Caenorhabditis elegans: one gene and its partners. The protein of the gene in region 4 interacts with the protein of the main gene of each other region in a pairwise test. Each region holds a gene or a part of one and is shown on either strand. Other genes may lie near its edges.

What was found.
Region 1: the proteins of K02B7.3 (region 4) and Y38C1AA.7 interact in a two-hybrid assay, tested with the Caenorhabditis elegans proteins (one large-scale study listed by BioGRID).
Region 2: the proteins of K02B7.3 (region 4) and C36H8.1 interact in a two-hybrid assay, tested with the Caenorhabditis elegans proteins (one large-scale study listed by BioGRID).
Region 3: the proteins of K02B7.3 (region 4) and F17E9.5 interact in a two-hybrid assay, tested with the Caenorhabditis elegans proteins (one large-scale study listed by BioGRID).

Annotation. Positions count from the first base shown.
Region 1 is NC_003282.8:156,241-160,931, forward strand, and holds Y38C1AA.7 (DUF7087 domain-containing protein), read left to right. Parts: upstream 1-2,721; 5' UTR 2,722-2,787; coding exon 2,788-2,868; intron 2,869-3,143; coding exon 3,144-3,542; 3' UTR 3,543-3,596; downstream 3,597-4,691. Other genes in the region: gegf-1 (EGF-like domain-containing protein), read right to left, coding at 1-17, 119-299, 831-919, 1,515-1,650; Y38C1AA.19 (RING-type domain-containing protein), read left to right, coding at 3,924-3,972.
Region 2 is NC_003282.8:12,741,454-12,747,154, forward strand, and holds C36H8.1 (Major sperm protein), read right to left. Parts: upstream 3,361-5,701; 5' UTR 3,286-3,360; coding exon 3,097-3,285; intron 2,994-3,096; coding exon 2,736-2,993; intron 2,604-2,735; coding exon 2,186-2,603; intron 2,033-2,185; coding exon 1,641-2,032; 3' UTR 1,584-1,640; downstream 1-1,583. Other genes in the region: T23F6.5 (MAM domain-containing protein), read right to left, coding at 1-70; inx-6 (Innexin-6), read left to right, coding at 5,164-5,241.
Region 3 is NC_003282.8:8,343,823-8,348,751, reverse strand, and holds F17E9.5 (DUF7087 domain-containing protein), read right to left. Parts: upstream 2,935-4,929; 5' UTR 2,870-2,934; coding exon 2,789-2,869; intron 2,656-2,788; coding exon 2,248-2,655; 3' UTR 2,206-2,247; downstream 1-2,205. Other genes in the region: F17E9.4 (TransThyretin-Related family domain), read right to left, coding at 45-147, 196-365; F17E9.15 (uncharacterized protein), read right to left, coding at 1,024-1,224, 1,273-1,329; F17E9.18 (Neuropeptide-Like Protein), read left to right, coding at 1,605-1,661, 1,712-1,861; lgc-5 (Neurotransmitter-gated ion-channel ligand-binding domain-containing protein), read right to left, coding at 4,267-4,419, 4,460-4,589, 4,634-4,745, 4,793-4,886.
Region 4 is NC_003280.10:14,693,097-14,698,375, forward strand, and holds K02B7.3 (DUF148 domain-containing protein), read right to left. Parts: upstream 2,206-5,279; 5' UTR 2,190-2,205; coding exon 2,103-2,189; intron 1,821-2,102; exon of another isoform or gene 1,782-1,820; coding exon of another isoform or gene 1,728-1,781; intron 1,553-1,727; coding exon 1,280-1,552; 3' UTR 1,096-1,279; downstream 1-1,095.

The DNA of each region.
Region 1 (4,691 bases), on a different chromosome or scaffold from region 4:
AGCCGAGTCGCAAACGGCTGAAAATAATCCACGTAGGGGTTGGAGGCAATCTAGTATGAAGGCAGATAGATGCACCTGCCGATTAGTAAAGCCTTAAAACTAAAAGATAAAACCTTACTCTCTTCACAAGTCTTTCCAGAAAATCCCAATTGGCATGCGCAGAGGAATGTTTTCTTTGTTCCGAGACAAGTTCCACGGTGATTACAGTCGATGGCTCCGCAGGATTCGAGGCTTGAACGGGATAGGAGACTGTTCTCTTCTTCTTCACGTTCTCGAGCAGTTTCTTTCAGACTTTCTACCTGAAAGTGGTCAGAATCAAAACTTGAAATGTTTCAAACATTTTCAGAGTGTGTAAGAAATCTTCAATTATTTTTTTCAGAAATTCCAATTCAAATTCTAGAAACTTTCTGAAATTTTCACGGGATTTTAAAAATTACCAGCTTTCCTAAAAGTTTACAGAAAATTCTTTTAAAAAATTCAAAAACGTTTGGAGGTTTTCAAAAGATCCCTAGGTTTTAACTTTTTCTAGGAGTTTTTTTTTATTTTTAAATTTTACCAGAAGCTTCTAAAGCTTCTAAAAATGTTTCAGAAATTTTCAAAAGGTAAAAAAAATTCAAGCAGTTTTCAGAAGGCTCTAAAATTATCTGGTTTTTTTTCTTCTAAATTTTCCAAAAGACGTTCTAAAAGCTTCCAGGTTCTTGAGCTTCCAGAATTTTTATAAATTTCTAGCACGTTCTATCTAGTTTTATACAGAAGTTACTAGAACCTCTGCAGTGTCAAAAACTTATCAGAAAAATTTAAATTTTAAATTTTGCGCCAAAAAAACCGACCGCCTTGTCGAGTTCAGCCTTCACTTCCTCTTGAATATCATTTGCATCAACTTCCCTCTTTTTGTCAGTTTTTTCTTCGGCTTCCACATCTAAATAAATTATTTACTGTGAGGTAGAGAAAATAAAATTTCAAAATAAAATTATCCAACAAAAAAACTAGATAACTTTCAATTTGAAAAGTTCGTAAGTTCACTCCGGGAGATAATTGATGTTGAAAAGGTATTTGATATACGATCCTTTAGTAATTGTAATACATCAAATAACTGGTACACGTCATTTCGAAAAATAAACCATTGAATTACCTGATTCTGAAAAATTTTCTATAAAAATTTTTGAAGAAGTTTCTGGAAGCTAAACGATTCTAAAATTTTCCCGATTAGAAAAGAGGATCTAATAAAGTTCTAGAGGATTCTAAAATATTTTGAAGTTTATTGAAAATTTCTAAAAACTGCCAGGTGGTCTCTAGCAATGTTGAGAACTTTTTTTAAAAACTTTCTGGACTGTCCTAAGAAACTAGAACATTCTGAAATTTTCTGATACTTCTTGGATTTTTTTGGAGCACTGTGAAAATTCCAAAAAAATTCTGAAACTTTCTAAAACTTTCTGGGACTTTCCAAAATGTTTTCTAAAAAATTCTAAAAAAATTCTAATATTTTCTTAACTCATCTTTATTATATATTTTACCTGAAATTTCAACTTCTCCTGAAATTGTCTTATTTCCCACATCGTCCACTTCAATCACGTGCACTTTTTCGGCATGAATCCACGTGACCAAGACCAGGAAAATTCCAAAAATTGTCGCGGAGGTTTTAACAAACATTTTTTTTATCTGAAAGTTGATTTCTTGGAACTTTTCATGATGACAATTGACAAAAAAGTGGTAGATATTATTCCCAAAACACTATACATATTAGAATACAAAATCTAAACAAAAAAATAACGACACAAACACAAAAGTAACAATTTGGCGTGGTTACGTAACAGTTTTGTGCCCCTATTCCACCTTTGCCCCGTGAGGGTGGGCCGGTTTTAGGGGGATAAATTAGGGAAAAAAGTCAGGAAGCGTGTCGAAATCGGCGAGATCCAAAAAACCAGATGATTATATAATAGGAGGGGTGGTTGTTTCGAGGATACTCTTTTGGTCAGATTTATTGTATTTTAGTTAGGCTATATACTTGATGGCTAAAGTAGTTCTGAAGATGGTTCAGAACAATAGGAACAATTGTCGAAAAGTTCCAGTTTCTAGCATTTCGGCTAGTAAATTGTTGGTGTTTAACAGTAACAAAATAGTAACTTGTGGAAAAAACCAACCGATGGAAGTGATTTCGTGAGCTACAAACTACAATTCTACAAACTGCAATTTTCACAGATTTCGAAATATAATATTACTATAAACTATACCCATGCAATCTAGAATTTTCAGATTAAACAAATTAAACCAAAACTGTTACGCGAGTTACAGATTGAATACTACCAATTAGAAATTAGAAACTGTAAACTACAAACCACAAACTACAAACTACAGACCTGAAGTTGATAACTATAGAGTTGAGACAAGAGACTGAAACGTGCAACTCCACTTCAAAAACTTTTCCTAACAACTGAAATCTATAAAGTTGAAGCTACGGAAGTGCAAACTACAAACTACAAACTAAACTATGAAAGCGTACCCAATACATTGTTTAATATGTCCTAGAGTTCCTGAAAATGGCAGAAAACTAGGAATTCAAAAATGGCCGTGAAACAAAAAAGTTATAATTTTCAATTTTTTAATTTTTTAAAGGGTTTTCAAAAAATAAAATAATTTCACGCATCGGCCCGACAATTCCCTATCGCCACGTTTAATCTGCCCCAGTTTCGTCCGTATAAAAGCTCGAAAAAATGTGAAATCAAATCAGTCTCTGCTCGAATCATCACCGATTTTCTACTCGCTCGACAACGATCTCTCGCAGCTACAATGGATCAAATCCCACCATACGAGTTCAACAAGTACGTGCTCTACGTCCGTGGTGCCGTCATCGTCTGTGCTTCATTTGAGGTATGTTTGGGGATTTCTGGGAGGTTTTGTAAAGATCTCGCCCTGACCAGGTCTTTCCTTGGGGATTTTAATACAAGCGTAGAAGATTTTCTGTGTGGGCAATGAAGGGTAATTGCCGGTTCGCCGAATTTCCCGATAATTTGAAAACGGCAATCTGTCGGCTTTGCCGTTTGTCGGAAAACTCCATTTTCGGCAATTTTCAGCATTCCGAATTTTCCGTTTGCCGGTCATCCCTAAATGTAGCCTTTTTCATCTAAAACCTTTATAATTTTCAGCTCCTGTTGGTCCTATTCGGTTCCCTCGAAGATTGCAACTTCCTTGCTAAGCTCTTCTACTTCATCTTCCTTGGCGGAGCAGTTGCCATCTCAGCTCACAACATTGGTCTCAACGTGGATGGTCGCGAGGAGCTCAACAAGGTTCTTTCATCGTCAGAGAATGAAGTTCGTGGAAAGTCTGCTGCCTTGATTCTGGTGCCAGCGCTCTCCGGTGTCCTCGTCTTCTTATGTGTCTCTGGACATGCATTCTTCTCGCTTTTCGTGCTCATCCATGTGCTCGCCGCCGTTGGACAACTCGGAATTGAGGTTTATGAGTTGAAGAAGGGACAATCTGGAGGTTCTGCACGAGGTGCTGCACCGTCAGCACAGGATCCAGCTGCTGCTCCACCAGCCCAATAGACGAAGAAAATAAATCTGATATAAATGGAATAAATTGGAGTTTTTATTATTATTCTCGTTCAGATTTTTGTTTTGTATTTTCTTGAGATCGAACAGAGGCTCCCTGAAAAAAACGTTACAGGTCAGCAAAATATTTTTCTACTTCCGCGTATTAAAGAATTCTTGTCCGAAATAGAGAGGAAGTTTCGTAACACGTTTCGTAAGATTTGCCGTATATCATCTCGCGTAGTTTCGAGCAATTCTAAAAAATATTGTCAATTTCCATTCAGAATTTCTCAGTTTCCTCAGTTTTCCTAAGTTATTTTCTTATCGGACTCCTTATCAGTCGTCAATAAAATGGTAGGTGCTTACCATTTTTGCATTTTGTAATTTTCTGTAGACATGTCTTTGTGTCGCACATTTTTCTGTGTGAAGTGTTCACAATTCTTCGGTAAGTAGCAATTTAATTAAGTTTTGTTTAACTTATTAAACTTGGTAATATATTGTAGATATTTCATTAAAGGTGGAGTAGCGCCAGTGGGGAAATTGCTTTAAAACACGCCTATGGTACCACAATGACCGAATATCATAATAAAAAAATTCAAAAAAATTTTCCTGATTTTATATGATTTTTTGAAAATAGCAAAATTCTCAGTTTTTGCCTAATTCCTATTTGAATTTCCGCCAATTGAATTTGTTCGATGGAGCGCGCTTGCACGTTTTTAATTTAATTTATTTTATTTTTTGTTATTTTCCACCAATTTTTAATGTTTTCGGTGTATTTTTGCTCGAATTTTAGGGAAAAAGTCAAAATAAATGCAAATTTTCGATTAAAAAGCACGCTTACACGCGTAAATCAGTTAAATTAATTAATTTAGGTTCGAAATCGTTTAAAAGCGTTTCTTTTTCATTTTAACGCTTGTAAGCGAGCTTTTTAATCGAAAATTTGCATTTCTTTTGACTTTTTCCCTAAAATTCGAGCAAAAATACACCGAAAACATTAAAAATTGGTGGAAAATAACAAAAAATAAAATAAATTAAATTAAAAACGTGCAAGCGCGCTCCATCGAACAAATTCAATTGGCGGAAATTCAAATAGGAATTAGGCAAAAACTGAGAATTTTGCTATTTTCAAAAAATCATATAAAATCAGGAAATTTTTTTTGAATT
Region 2 (5,701 bases), on a different chromosome or scaffold from region 4:
GTTGAGGTTGTTGCGGTTGACTACTGACCAGCTTTGGCAGTAAAAATATAAAAAGTGTCCAAAGTCTCATAGTATGTATAAACCTGTAAAACAAAAAAGTTCGTGAATTACTACTGCTAACAATAAGATAACCATGGAAAATTGGGTGAAAAGATGGTGAAAAGAAGCCTCGAGATGCCTCCCCATAGGCTCCGCCTATTTTTCGCCGATGACCTCGATGAAGAAGCATAGACACGAAGAGAAGAGAAAACAAGACATCGGAGAGGAGGAGGAGGAAAGACGTCCGAAAATATGAGGGAAAGTGAAAAAGCCCTCCTCCAGCAAAAAAGTGCACGGATTGACGGAAAATATCACGCCGGCAGGTGAAAGGGGAACGGTGAAATGACCATTGCACTAATCGGACCGGCTTATCGGATTTGAAGGGTTCGAGAGTGATGAAGAAGTTATGAAAAACTATAAGGAAAAGTGAAAAGCGTTCTTTTTTAAAAAGTGAGGAATAAGCAGGAGGAGGATACGGATCAGGTGGGAAAGGAATTTCGGAGAAGAATAGTGTTTCCAAAAATTAGGGTTAAGCTTCTAGGTTAGCTGGGGAAGGAATTCTGGAAAGTGCCCTAGAAAAATATTCAGACGAGGCACCACATGGTGTGGATTTTTTAACGAAAATTCAAAAAAACATGTTCTTTCTGAAATTGCCGTAAAATTAAAAATTATTTTAAAAATTCAAAAGTTGTGAAATTTTTTGAATTCAAATAACCTGGATTTTTCGACAGCTTCAGGGCATCGTAACTTGTCTCAACCAGCTCCGAATGATTTTTTGGAGTGATTAACAGTAGTCATACCCTATCAAGTTTATGTTATAACAAAGTCTGATGTATTCTTTGGGAACCTCCCCTTGTTAGAGAACACGAGCTTTTTTAAAGATTGCTCACTTTTCTGAAAAACTGTGCATAGAAAGTTTTTGAAATTACACTAGAAATGTAGAAAAATATCTCAATGACCAACTCGTAAAGTTTGAGAAAAAGTTACCGACCTGTTCTTCAGCTAGAGCGGTTTCAATGGATCTGACTTTCTATTTTCTACTGTGTTTCGTAAACTTTGGCATGTTTCTCGAAAAATGGCTTGGTAAGGGGATCCAAAACCATATATAGAATTATGTGAAACCGATTTTGATGGGACTGGCCGAACTTTATCTATGTATTTGAGGCCATTTAGCATTAACAGATTTTGCACAACATAGGCCCCCACACCCATTGAAGTTCCACAGGGTGGAATGTTTATTTAGACAGAGGTAATCTGGTGGATGCTAAAACACTTTTTTAAATAAAATGTTTATGATGTAAAAAATAAATTTGAAAAAATCCGAAAAAAGGAACAAAGACAGATCTCTAAAAAAAACCTTGTCACATCATACTGACCCATTTTCATTTTCAACCGCATCTCGTAAGGAATGAGAACAAGCAAAATCGGTCGTCTGCCACGGCTCGTTTCTTTTTGCGTCATCCAACAACTATTTTCTCAAGGATTTCGATTTTCTTTGACATTATTTTGTCGGCCAAAAGTAACAACAAAACAAAAAAAAAAAGAAATTCAAATAGCATTTTATACGATGTCTGTAAGCTCTGTAAGTCTGTAAGAGAGTTCTATGGATTGTACTCAATCTTGATATTCTTGCGACGCTTCGAGTCCGAATGCTGGAACATACTCATCGAGAACGCCTTCTCCTTATTGGAATCCGGCAGCAAAACGTAGTCGAAAGCGATACGATCCTTGTTGTACTCAAAATCATTCCAATCAAACTTTTGCACCGACACAGCAATGATTCGTCCTTCTCCGAGTTCCAAGATTCCAAATGCGGGGTAAGCCATGACACGGGGCACCGAGTTTCCCTTGATTGCGTAGGCAATGCGGTGACGGCTGTTGTTGGAAACTCTCATGTGATATGTCAGATTTTCAAAGTCGAATGGAGCATTGAACACAATCTTATCCATCGGGCGGAACAGAACATCATTCAAATTGTGGCCAGGGCTAATAGCTGCAAAAATTATTATTAACTGGTTGAAAGGATCCGCGGTAGGTGTGCCTGCCTTCTTACTCGCCTTCCTTGCCGGCCGTAACATAGTGCTTCGGCAGTAGTCACATGGTCTTGAAGGCAGGCAGGCAGGCTAGCATTTCCCTAATATCATACCTGAATTGAAACCATCAAATTCCGACTTCAAATTGTGGAAGGATGAAGATTGCATTGGGTGTGGTCCGGTTTTGAAACGTTGAGATCCTCCAGCAAGATCCGTGCAACTCTTTGATGGAGATGGAAGCTTCGACGGTGGAGCAGGATCAGATGGTTCGACTGGTGCAGGAGCTGGATCCTGAACCGGAGCTGGTGGTGGGGCAATCTGTTCCACAGGAGCTGGCACTGGTTCCGGAGCTTTCTCAACAGGGACTGGCATTGGAGCTGGTGGTGGCGGTGGTGCTGCTTGCTCAACTGGCTTTGGTGGTTCTTGTGGTGGTGGTCTTGGCGGTGGTGGAGCCGAGATGGCAGTTCTAGTTGATGCGGCGGTTCTTGGTGCGGATCTTTGGCTCATCTCTGACACGTTTTCATTGCTCTTCTGAAAAATCTTATTTAGTGAAAGAGATTATTCGGATTTTCCACGAGCGAAACTTCTCAGCCACCGTACTACCGTATTCTGATAAGGTAGCTGAAAAGCTTTGCTGGTGATTGGACCCAACAACACTCGTACCTGCTTCTTGAGTTGCTCTCGAATGAATTCATTAATCTTCTGATGCATGACGTATGGTGGCAGGTACAGCAGTGCAAAAAGTGCCAACTTAATCACATAATAGCATGGAATTTTCTCCAAGCTACGATCCAGACACGTCACTGCGCCAAACAACGAGAAGTAAACGAAGAGTGACTCGTCCGTTGGTTTTTCGATCGGAAAGACGAAGATGAGCAATGCTGGGATCGCAACGAGTAGAGCGTTGGCGAAGAAGTGCGCCTGAAATAATATATGAAATTGTAAGCGAACACGGCCACGAAACAAATGTCAAGGTAAGCCCCTTAACAAATCCCGTTCCTCCTGAAAATTAAAACTTCCTTACCTGATCACTGAACGCGAGAATTGCGAAAAGAGCTCCGGCGAGCACTTTGACAACAAGCTCCGCATCCATTCCAGACACATCGACGATTTGTCCGATGCCACGTGCAGTGAAGTGTTTCTTGTTGTGCACTCTTTCACGAATCCATTCCAGCGTTTCACAACAATTTTTGTCGCTTGAAGTTTCCGACATTCCAATTGATCGATAAGATTTTGACGAATCCGAGTAGGGAATAAATCGATTTTTGACAAAAGTGATTGTGGTTAGATTGATTGAATGATAAGAGAATTCAACGTGAATTTCGTGCCACGGAATGTTATTTGGATTCAAAGTTTCTTTTTGGATTTTCACGTTTTTTATAAAATTAACTATAGTAATAAAAACATAATTAACGTGAAGCTCAACAATACTGTATAATTTGTATCGATTTTGCAGTTTGTTAATTTGTACAAGTTTTGACCCTAAATTAGGATTCGAATCAAAACTTCTTATCCATCATGCCATCATAATCTCTATTTGCTCCTCGTTCTAAATGTCTCATTCCTTCTCTTTCACCAATAAAAGAGCATCTCGCGCATCAGTGGCAATGGAAGCGGGGGGCCTTCGAACAATAATCTGTCCGTGTAATACAAAAAATACACATACACAATTCGATACAAACATAGATACCTCCTTTATCGAATGAAGAAAAAAAAAGAGTAAGCAGAAGCTTCTTCATTCAGATAATTACATCAAAAATGATGACCTCCCAGTATGTGTCACTCATTCACTTTGTGGAAAATCCTTTTAGTTCCAATTTATTTTTATACGAAAATGCTGCTTTTCGGTAAACGATTTTAAGTTTTTTGTTTGAAAAACTTTCTTTAAAATTTTTTTTAGAGCTTTAAAAACTGAAATTGTTATACTATTCAGAAGCGTTTAAATGCAAATTTGACAATTTTTGAGCTGAAAATATGGTACCCGGTCTCAACCCGACAAGTTTTTGTAGAATTCAAATAGGTGTGCGCTTTTAAAGAGTACCGTACTTTCAATTTTTTAGGTTGTTCTTGATTTTTCCTTGATTTTTCATAGTTTTTGCCAATTTCCAAAAAAAAAATTTACTAGTTTTCTACAATCAAATACTTTTTATTGAAAACATTGTTTAAAAATCAATGAACTTCCAAAAAAGTGGCAAAAACTGAGAGTTTTCCAATTTTCAAAAAATCATAAAAAATTAAAAAAAACAATTTTTTCGCTATGCTATTTTTTATTGTGGTACCATAGGCAAAACTGAAAACTGAACTGAACCCCACAAAATTCATAAAAATACTGAAAATTTGTGTTTTTCCGTCCGAAAAAAAACCGTGCTTCAAAAAAAAAACTGTACCTGAATCAGTTTTATATATTCAAAACTTCCCAAAAGTTGTCTGAAAACGGGTAGTTTTTTTTTTAAAATTATGTATATCTCATTTCAAAACATGTCCTGATTTAGTTTTTCCCAATGTTTTACGACCAAGTGTTGTTTGATCTACTTAAATCGCGGGATATGACAATTTTTAAGTTTTGTGACGTCATGCTGGCTAACAATGAAACACGTGTGACACACAGTTCAAAACCTAATTTCCAGCAATTTTTTTGGTGAATTGCAGTTTGACCTCCAGAAACCACCATTTTTTGAAAAAAGCTCCTCTGGTCAACCCCAAAAGACCTCCTCCACCTGTACAGTTCAACAAAATCTCAGGTTACCATTTCGCTGCCCCAATTGAAAAGAATCCTGCACTTCTTGGCGCGCTGCTCCGCGAGCATCTTCTTCTTTTCAAACAGTGCATTCGCCTCCCTTTCGAAAACGAATCTTTCTCTCTTCACTCTCCTTAGCTTGTTCACAGACACACAAGTACATATGTACACAACAATAAATACACCGAGTGGTGGTGAGGATGATTGGGAGAGTTGCGCTTTTTCCAACACAACCATCCTCCCACTCCAAATTGTATTGTTTCAATTTTCACCTAACCCCCTTGCCAAAAAAAAAAACGAACCGAAACCTATCAATTTCAGAGCATCTAGAAACATCGAGTGGCAACTCCAGCGATGGCGTCGCAAGTTGGAGCCATTAACTCGGTGAATGCACTCATTTCGAGGGTATTCGTTCAGCCGAAAGGTGATTTGGTAAGTTTATTGTGCTTTTTTCCGAGAGAGGGAAAAAACTGTGAGCCTTCTTGTACACACAATTTTTGATCAGGACCGACTGAGTTTAGTATGGAACCTGGAGCCTGAACTGTGAAGTAATGATTGGAATTGACAACACGTTTTGCTCCTTTTAGGGTCGGCTGAGTTTTTCAGGCTCATATTTTTATTCTTAGGAACTCAGTCTTACTTTTCAGGCAAAAATGTTGGGGCGTATTTTTTAGGTTGGGAATCCATAATCTGTTGAGCTTTTAGTGTAAATTCTGAGTTTTAAATATGATATGATTTTTTAAAGCTCTCCATTTAATATTACCAATAGTATTGTATTGTATTGTATTTATTACGATTCAAATCGTGATCAAAAATAAATAGTGAATAGACATGAATAAGTTAAGGCCCAAACATCATAGAGTAGTAGCCTTTTTTTCTCAGAGTTTTAGCT
Region 3 (4,929 bases), on a different chromosome or scaffold from region 4:
TCCTATAAGTCACAGCAAAATTTTAGAATCACAACAATACCTACATCAAATAGTCCATCCCCATTGTCTTCTGCGTCAACTTTATAAAAGAAACCAGATTTGTCTTTAATAAATTGTGCTACCTCTCCTATCATATCATTTGGTGTTCTGACATATTTTCAATAGATTTTCATAAAAATTTATATTCAAACTAACGCTTTATCATGTTCCCATACTTGCAGCTTCTCGACAAATGAATCTTTCATGGTGGCATTACATGTGATTGTTCCAGAGAAATTGAATTTTGTAGAACTGGCCGAATAGACAACGTATGGGAAGAAAATACAAAAAAGAATGCTTAGGAATACACTTGAGAATCCCGTCATTTTGTATATGATGTAGAAACAAAACTTTAGAAGAATCTTTTATACGGGGAAAAGATGACTGAGATTGGAAAATAAAATGATGCGTTCACATGATGATTTCCACAACATTTCAGAAAATCACATTTCAAGAACATTGACAACAAAACAAAACAAAGGCAGAGATTGCATGATTGGATGGGATTCGCAAAAATTGTAGCTTTCTAACTTGTTAGGCGTAAACATGGATCGACCCGCGACCCTTTTCAGAGTGTCAGCAGATTGCGAGGAACTTCACTTTGAGTCACAGGTTCATCAGGGACTCGCAATTGAAACTATATTATCCAAGTGTTCATCTGTTTTTTTAACGATTTGTTTTGGGCCGACCAATAGGCACAGAGTTTAGAAAGAACGTACAAGAAATATAAACATAATATTCAAAGTTTTTGATAATTTTGAAATCTTGCTCGTAGATACTTTTAATTGTGATTACTTATTGAACACTTACACTTACGAACACTACACATGTCAGAAATTCCAGTTTATAATGTTAAAAAATGTATTAACAATGTCGTAATAGGATGAAAACAACTGTAAAACGGTTTAAACTTGTTACATTAGGGGGAGTGTGCAATAAAATAAAGACTTTCTGAATGCTTGAATATGTTTATTATATATTTCATCAAGAGAGACATTTATTTTCTTCCCCAACCAAGTGGAGTTGGTGGACGATTGATATATAGTATGCACAGATAGTATGCTGTGCAACTGCAGATGGAATGAAATTGAACAAATTTGGCTCTGGAGCTTGTGGAATTGGATTGAAGATTGATGGTTCAATGTGATCAACTGGTTGAAAAGCCATTGACCATGGATAGAATTGCTGATTGAATAATATAATATTATTTGAGTTTGATCATTTAAAACTTACCGCAGAAACTGAGCAAATTGTGAAGACAAGGAAGATATAGGCATTGAATATTTGCATTTTCAAAGACTTTGCTAATGATACTACACAAAACGCGTTCTTTTATATTCCCAGTTTGATGAGGTCCCTCCGAAAAAACCACTGCAAAATTTGATTTCTTCTCAAAAAAATCAAAGGGGTGTAGTTAAAATGTTTAGAGTTTTCTCGATTGTCGGAGGGGTCAGAATATTTTATGAAACCTGTTATGTTTTTGAACACTACAATCGGAGGGAGCTCGTAAATGTTTTCATATAAATTTACCATTTTTCGGTGAAGTCCAAAAAGCGCATCTCATAATGCAACTGTTCACCGCCTGCATCTTCCTTGCTTTCGCCATTTTCTCGGTTTCCGCGGTAGGCTGATTTCAAACTTTCAAGCAAAAGAAACGTATAATACTTTACAGCAATTCATTCCAACTAATCAAATTCTACCATCACTGTTCAACCCAGCTAGAAGAGCTCCTCAGCCAAGTTCATTCAATTTCATCCCATCTGCAAATGCAAGACATACCATCTATCGTCCACCGACTCCACTTGGATGGGGAAGAAAATGAATGTTTCTCTTGTTGGAGTTGGAACTAATAATAAAGATTATTGAGCATTTAGAAAGTGTTTGAATTATTCCAGTTTGCGAGAATCCTTGAAATAACCCAGCGAAACGAACAGCAATCATACTAAAGTACTCCAATAACCCAGTATTTGCTCAAAAAGTTGATAGTTACGATAGTTTTTAAGTAATCACAGAAGCCTCTCTTCGGACTAACCACAACAAAATATTACTCTTACAACAAGATGCTCACTCTTCTGAAACTACAGTAGAAAAGAGCACTTAGTTTTTCCAGGTTTTTTGGCGACCGAGTCTAGCAGAATTTGCAGATTACATTCCTGATCAAAAAGAGCAAGTAAAAACTTTTATTTCAAAAACCCCCAAGTATTCTTTCTACTGTGCTGGTGGAGCTGCAACTGGATCCTGGGCTGGTGGTGCAGTGGCGGCTGGGTCTTGTGCTGGAGCTCCAGATTGTCCCTTCTTGAACTCATAAGCTTCAATTCCGAGTTGTCCAACAGCGGCGAGCACGTGGATGAGCACGAAAAGTGAGAAGAATGCATGCCCAGAAACACACAAGAAGACGAAGATACCAGCAAGAGCTGGGACAAGAACCAATGCGGCAGACTTTCCACGAACTTCATTGTCAGACGAGGTAAGAACCTTGTTGATCTCCTCGCGACCATCAATGTTGAGAGCAATGTTGTGCGATGAGACGGCAACTGCTCCACCGAGGAAGATGAAGTAGAATAGCTTGGCAAGGAAATTGCAATCGCCGAGGGAACCGAACAGAACCATCAGGAGCTGCAAATATTTCATGATGTTCTATACATTCTGGAAAACGGGCAAAAGACCAAGAGCCAGGACAAGTCTTTAGAGGCCAGCCCTTAAAAACCAGGACCAGTCCTCCGAGGACCACGAACGGCACAGAACGAACCTCAAATGAAGCACACACGATGACGGCACCACGAGCGTAGAGCACGTACTTATTGAACTCGTACGGTGGGATTTGATCCATTGCAGAGAAGTAGTCGAGTGAGTAGAGAATCGGTGATTCGAGCAGAGACTGATTTGAATTACACATTTTCCGATCTTTTATACGGACGGATCTAGGGCAGATTGACCGTGGAGATAAAGAAAGGTCGAGGTTGAAGCGGAGAAAAAACAACCTTTATAAAAAAGTTTCTGGATGTTTTTTGGAATTATTTTTGAAATAAAGTAAAACATCACGGTCATCGAAAAAGAAATTAAAGAATTTCTAGTTCATCCGTTTCATGTAATTAAACAAGCTTTTTTAGTCACTTGAGGGAAGCCTTGTTCAATTATGAATATACCGATAACCGCGTGTTTTTAGCCAGCTGAATGCTTTCTAGTTGGCCTGGAGAATATATATAGGCCAAATCCAATAACGTTTGCGGAAAAAAAACATTTGAGAAAACCAAAACCTAATTTACCCTAATTTATAAAACCATAATTTATTTTGAAGTTAGTTTGCTGCAGGTGCGATAGCTTTACCATCCCTCACTCTGACTGCTTGACTTTTTGCACACATTAGAAAAAAAGGGGGTTAGGGTAGCTTTACCAAGGCGGCAAAGACAAAAATTGACATACTTGGTAAGCACTGAGTGTCTCTGCGATGCTTATATCCAGCGAGATAGATAGAAACATTATACAAAATCAATAGAATAGTCTTGAACAATGTAGAAAACCTAATTTAAAAATGAATGAGACTGATTTCATAGCCACAATGACTGAAAATAGAAAGACTCTTCCATTTTCAAGCACTTGCAAGTTGCAGGTAAGCTTATGGTCTGTTGTCACGTGACACCTAAGTTTTAATTGCCAAAAATAAATTCACAAAGATTCATTTACTAGTTTAATGACAGTTTCGTAGACAGATAAAACCGATCCAGTTCACAAAGAACCTATTTTCAGAATTTAGATAATTTTCACTTTTTCGAATTTTTGAAAATTCCCCGAAATTTTTTTAAATTTTGCTTTTTTTATAATTCTTGCAGTAATAGTTATGTTTTGATCATTTTCATATTATAGTGAATTTTCAACTCAAACGAATCACTTTGAAACAAGTTATTGTCAAAAAACTAAAATTGGATAGAATTATGGCCGGCACTGTAGAAGGCCTAGGGACTCTTGAAAATTTGTCAACCCCGCAGAAAACAATACTCTAAAAAAGTCCAAACATTCCATGTTCTCGCGCAGGAAAGTTGTTAATATAAATTATTCTTCACTAAAACCGATCATTTGTTTTGAGGGTGCTTTAGAGACGTTTTAAATATTTTTTAATTTACTGTCAAACAAGTACCCAATTTTTGCCACTAGGACTATCTATCCCTATGAATTGATCAAATTTTTTAAACGGGTAAATATAAATTTATTGAAAGTTATTTTTGATTTTTATTTCCAATATACAATTGTTATTACAACATTGGCAACTTGAAACAGAATAAGACACATTAGATCAGTTTTATCCAGAATTTTGAGCCAGAGCAACTGATTTTCATTAATGCGAGACATTTCTTGCAGAGTGTCACGAACAAGAAACGCAGTCTAAAATATATCAATTAATGTTCAAATCATGGTGGTTTACCTTATGTAATGACGACTTCAGAAGAGAAACAGGCGCAATGATGTTCTCGGGAACATCCATACTGGATACAGAACTGGTTTTAGAAGGGAATTCTTCCCTCATACAATCACATAGTACGAGACATCGTAACCTATTAAAAAGTAGAGATAATTAATTAATTATTCATATATTCACCATTTTGGAGGGCACGTTGCATTTGTGTGAACATGATGATGAACATGTTGAATAACAATTGCAGCAATTGTAGCTGCAGTAACCACAAAAATTTCAGCAATAATATAGTTGCCTACATTTAAAATAATAGATGGATAAAAATAATTAGACTTCATTTACCTAGTAATGGAAGACGCGAGGCTTTGGGCATCATATCGGAAACTAATTGAAGCATCATTGAAATTGCAGCAAACATATTCAAGCACAGCTCAACCTAAAAACATGAATTAACAACCTCCTTTTAAGATTATTCATTC
Region 4 (5,279 bases):
ATCTGCTGGAAGGGAAAATATCCCAGACTCCCCATAAATTCACTAGTTCTCCTGTTTTCTGATACTTTCGAAACTTGTTTTTTGTTTTTTTTTCCATTTTTCGTTAAATGTTTTTTTTCTGTTGTTTTTTCATTTTGTTTCATTTTCATAATAAATCGTGTTATTTTTTATGGTTTTATAAAAGTTTAATCCAATATGAAAGCAAAACTAGCTAGCAAGAAAGCATAACTACGTAGCAAAACATCACCGCTAATCAGCGGAAAAGCACAATTACTGCGGTTGACTAAGCCGTGACATAAATGCTAATTAGCAGTGATTTTCTATCGCTCTGCCGTGACTCCAGTCTATCTGAGATGTATTGTAAGCGAAAAATTTGTTTTTTCTTCAGTTTAGTATGTCTGGAAAACTTATAATCTACATACCTACCTAGTTGCTTTATTGATCCGTATCGGTCGCCTTCCATTTAATCTTTCCAGTTTTATTGGTGGTGTATCGGGGAGGAACTGAAATTTTTTATATACGCTTGAAAGTTTAGAAAATTTAAACTCACTTTTGCAACTGATTTGAGACAGGGATAAACAATTTTTGAAGTGTTTTGTTGAAGAATGATTCGAAAATTCGAGCAAGGACATGTCCAATTTTCAACTTTTACTATTAGAACTTACGAAAAAAAAATTTTAAAAAATTCCAAGAAAAATTCCGAATGTCCATTTCTGAACATCCTAAAAATTATCAAAAATCTGAAAATTTCACAGTTGGAGCCTTTACGGGTCTAGAAAATTGTGAAAAAATGCACTGAAACATTTTCAGAGCGACTGTTTTCCAAAGTGCTCCTCTGTCGCTAAATTATTTGTAGAAGGCCTAGCCAGAAGGCTTTTTTCAAATGCCATAAGTTTCAGTCAGAAGCCCTGTATTAAGTTGAAATACTTCCCTTGGTAGACGCACAAACCAAATTTAACAACGAGGCCTCTTGAATTTTCACCAATATTTTATGGATGTTCAAAACTTTAAAATAAAACCGTGCAAACTTTTTTAAAAGAAATCTCATTATGCAACTTGGTTCTGTGGAGTTGTCACAGTTCATATTTGAAATATCGCAAATTTCCACATTTTGAAACTTTTTTGAAACAATTCAATATTACAGAAAAAACATTTTATGCTTGCTTTTGAACAAATACAACTACAATTCGTCATTGGAATAAGGCACATGATAAACGTGGGCTTTGAGTAATGCATAAGAAAAATATGTGAATAAATAAATAATAATTGATTAATTAAATCAATTATCATCTAAAGTCACTTCCTTCTCCTCTTTCGGCTCATTCGTCGTCACATCAGCAGTGGCCGCCTCGTACACCTTCTTAAGCTCCGGAACAATCTCCTCCTTTGTGAATTCGGATGCGGCCTCGTACTTCTCTGCAACCCATTCTCGGATGTTCTTGTGGGTTTCCGGGTCCTGAAGCTTCTCCTTGTACTCGTTGAACTTGTCACGGATTGCTGGAGACGCCGTCTCCTTGAACCATCCGGCGGCATTGTTCAGACCTCCGCTGACCTGCAAGAACGGAAATTCAGAGTTTGCGATGTAATTTTTTGTTTTTGAGAAAAGCTTTGGCAAATAATTCTCAAAACGCTAAGGCACTTAGAGGCATAGGCTGAGGGCAAAAAGGCTTAGCTCTGTAGGCAGGTACATCGTTGCAGATTTTTAATGTTGAAATTACATTATCTACCTGACTGATATAAGCGTCTTTATGATTGTTATAGAAGTTGGTGAGCTTCTCCATCTCGAATTTTGGTCAGATTTTGAAAAAGAAATTCAAAAATAATTGTTTTTTTGTTAAAAAAATACGTGATTGAAAAGTTAGAGAATCCAAAAAAATCCGAAGGCCACGTAAAAATTGAGCGAATTTTTAAATTCTTAAACATTTAGTTACAAAAGTTTGGCACGTGGCTTTTTGTAGGCTTGCCTGTCTATGCCTGCCTTGCCTTTTGGAAATTGTCCAAATCAGTGGGAAGTTAGAAGTAAGTATTAGAACGACCAGACACAAAAAAAAAAGATGGGCAGGCACATAGGCAAGCAGACATAAAGCTTTTTCTTAACCTACCGTATCAGTGAACCCGTCCCACCAATCGGCTTGCACAGAACTGGCGAGCAAAAGTGTGATCAAAAGTGTAAAGACGACTGGACGCATTTTGTGGAGAGTCTGAAAATTTTAAAATTTTAAACTTTATATTTTATTAATGAAAACGAAAAGAGAAAAAGCAGCAGTGTTGCCAGAGTGTCTACAATTCTGGAGAAAAACTGAAATTATATAGTGCTGAGAGGATGAGTCATGTGAAAACGGGGGCCGTTATCATTTTTTATTTGGTGAAAAATTGAGTGAGTGGGCATCATGATCATAACATATTTAACATTTTCTCTTGGCGGCACAAGGAAAGAGCGTAAGAAATTTCTGGGCATTTCTGGAAATTTCAGAAAATTTCAAAGTGGGACATTTTCCAAATAAGAAACGAAGGTCTTGCTAGGCTAGGCAAGTGCAAACTTATGAGAAACAGGAAATAGTAGTTTGATATGCAAATATGTGGGCCCATCACTTCACTTCCTGTTCACCCCCCTTGTTCAATACTATCGACAAACATATCAAATATCACATAACTTTTTCTGAGTAGCGACTCAAAACTAGGTATTCTGTCACTAAAAATAACTCAGGAATACGTTCCAAATTAAAATAATGAGCAAGAGCTTTCAATACAAAACATTGCTCATACCTGAGGCTCAGGAAAAAGAGCAAAGAATTACTGGAGCATTTCTCGTGACTTTGAGAAGCTTCGTCGACAACTTTAGTGTACAAAAATCACAAGGAGGAACTTAGCCAGAGAGATGAAAAAACAATGTGTTTCAAACTATAAAATGTATTCTGAGATGAGTCATTTTTGCTGGCTGTAAAGATAGTTTAGTTTAGTTAATCGTTATTCTCAATTAATGGGAACCGTTAATCATTTTCGAAATTAAAAAAAGGAGTTACGGATCAAAAATGTTTTGCAAAACATACATATTTGTGGAAATTTTTAAAATTAAATTATTGCCATTCTTTATACATATCGTACTACTCAGACATGTACTACGCAGATTTAGATTGTTTTTTTCCAAAGTAGTCAAAAAAAAATAAGGCCAAGAATTTAGCTGAACTGATTTTTTTGGAAACTTTCAATTGCCGTAATTTGTTATTTATGAGTGTATTCAATCAAGAAGAAATTATATTTTATTTTACCAGTTCACAAACTGAGCTACCAAAACGAAATTAAAGACAAGTGAAATACACTTAATGACGCCATAAAATATATTTTGATACATGTCACAAAATTGCATGACTAACCCTATTATTATTTTTAAATATTAAGCTGAATGTAAATTTTATAAATTCAAATGTCTTAAAGAAAAAACCTACATTGAAAGAAAAAGAAGCCTTTTTGAATGAAAATAGGATGAGTCACGGTTTGTTGGCATTAACAATACCAGCAATGTATGCCAAAAAACCTGATCAGAAACTGGCTTTTGGAAAGGAATTTTAGAATTATTTTTTGCAGAAAGATACATTTTGCATTTTCAATTCAAAAAAAACTTGCTTAAAAACCAAAAACGGGGGTTCTCAAAACAAAATGTTTCTATAGAAGTTTGTGTGACTCAGTTATGGAGGTGCAAACTGAGTTCGATTTTGAAATTTTTGTATTTTGAAAAAACTTGATCAACACATCCTAACCTAATTCAAAAAAAAATGTTCCATCAATTCAAAACGGCAAAAAAAATCAGAAAATTTGAGCGTAGTTTTCAGAGAATCTAATGATCGATAGATTTTTCTTATTTTTCTGAACTGGAATTTTTGTAACATTTTTTTCCAATTTTTTGAAACTACTTTATTTTAGACTCTCACAAGCGTAAATTGTTGAAATTTCTCGTTTTTTCGTTGTTATGTAGTTAAATTTTTGCGTTTTCGGAATTTGAAAAGTTCGGGGGCTGTTATTTGACTGCTTTAAAATAATTTTTTAATCCAAAATATAATTTAAAATATACTTTAAAACTACTATCAAGATAGTGACTCTTATAAAAATCATCTAAAAAAGATATCAAAAAGCCTTTTCTCGCCGTCAAAATTGACTTTTCTCATCCAAAAGGACAGGTTTTTTTGCGATTCCCGATGATGAGGCATACGTTCCGCTTTGATCATCGCTCTAAACACACATCATACTAAGCGCAATTTAATCGGTTTAAAATATGATTTTGCAACAAAAAAACAATGAAATTATGAAAATTATTTTTTCAGTTTATCCAGAATACCAACAGTTTGAAGATTGCATGCAGGTAGTGAAAATTTATTGAAAAAATTGTAAAATTAGTTTTTAATTAAGAAACACTAAAATCTTGTCAAGCTTCAAAAATAAATTTCAGAATGTTTAAAATGTCTAGAAATTCTAAAACAGTAAATTCTAAAAAACCGAAAACCCGCGCTTGCCACAATTTCCGATTGCCTGAAAATTTTGGAATTTGGCATTTAATGAGTTTGCCAGAATTTCCGAAAAATTGGAATCTATCAATTTCAGAAATTATCAAAATTGGGAATTTGCCGAAATTGCCGATTTGTAGGCATTTTAGAATTCTTCAAGTGACGAAATTGCCGATCGCCAGAAATTCCAAAAACCGGCAATTGCCGAAAACCAGCACCGAAGTGGAAATGTGCAAGTCTTATTAAGGAAAGTACGACAAAAAACTTCTAGCAACCAACAGAAACAAAAAATATATATATTTCCAAATAGATCAAGCAAACGAGCTCAAAAAAAGAAAGAGAAATTCAAAAATCTGTAACACTACAAAACAACTGAGAGCAACTGAACGCATTAGCCACCCATCGATTGTGGACAGGCTAAGGAACAAGAGAGAGTCGATAGCACAAGACTTAGAGGCAAAAGGGTTGGTGTAATAGGGTCTGCAGGAGTGTAAAGAATACATCAGGTACCCCCTCCACTCAATTTGAAGAACAATTATTTCATTAGCTGAGTGAGTAGTTAAGTGAATAAGAGAGAATGAGTTGAGTCATCTATTTTATGAGTTACCCCACAGCAGGTTCCGAAGGTCACCGGTGCTCTGTGGGAAGTCGAAGTCGTTGGGTAATAAGGAGAGACTCTAGGAAGGGAGTAATATATCAAATGAGACAATAAAAAGGATCTGACCTGGCACTCTGCCAAGAAATGATATTTTATTTTATTTACAGATCTACTTTTTTTTT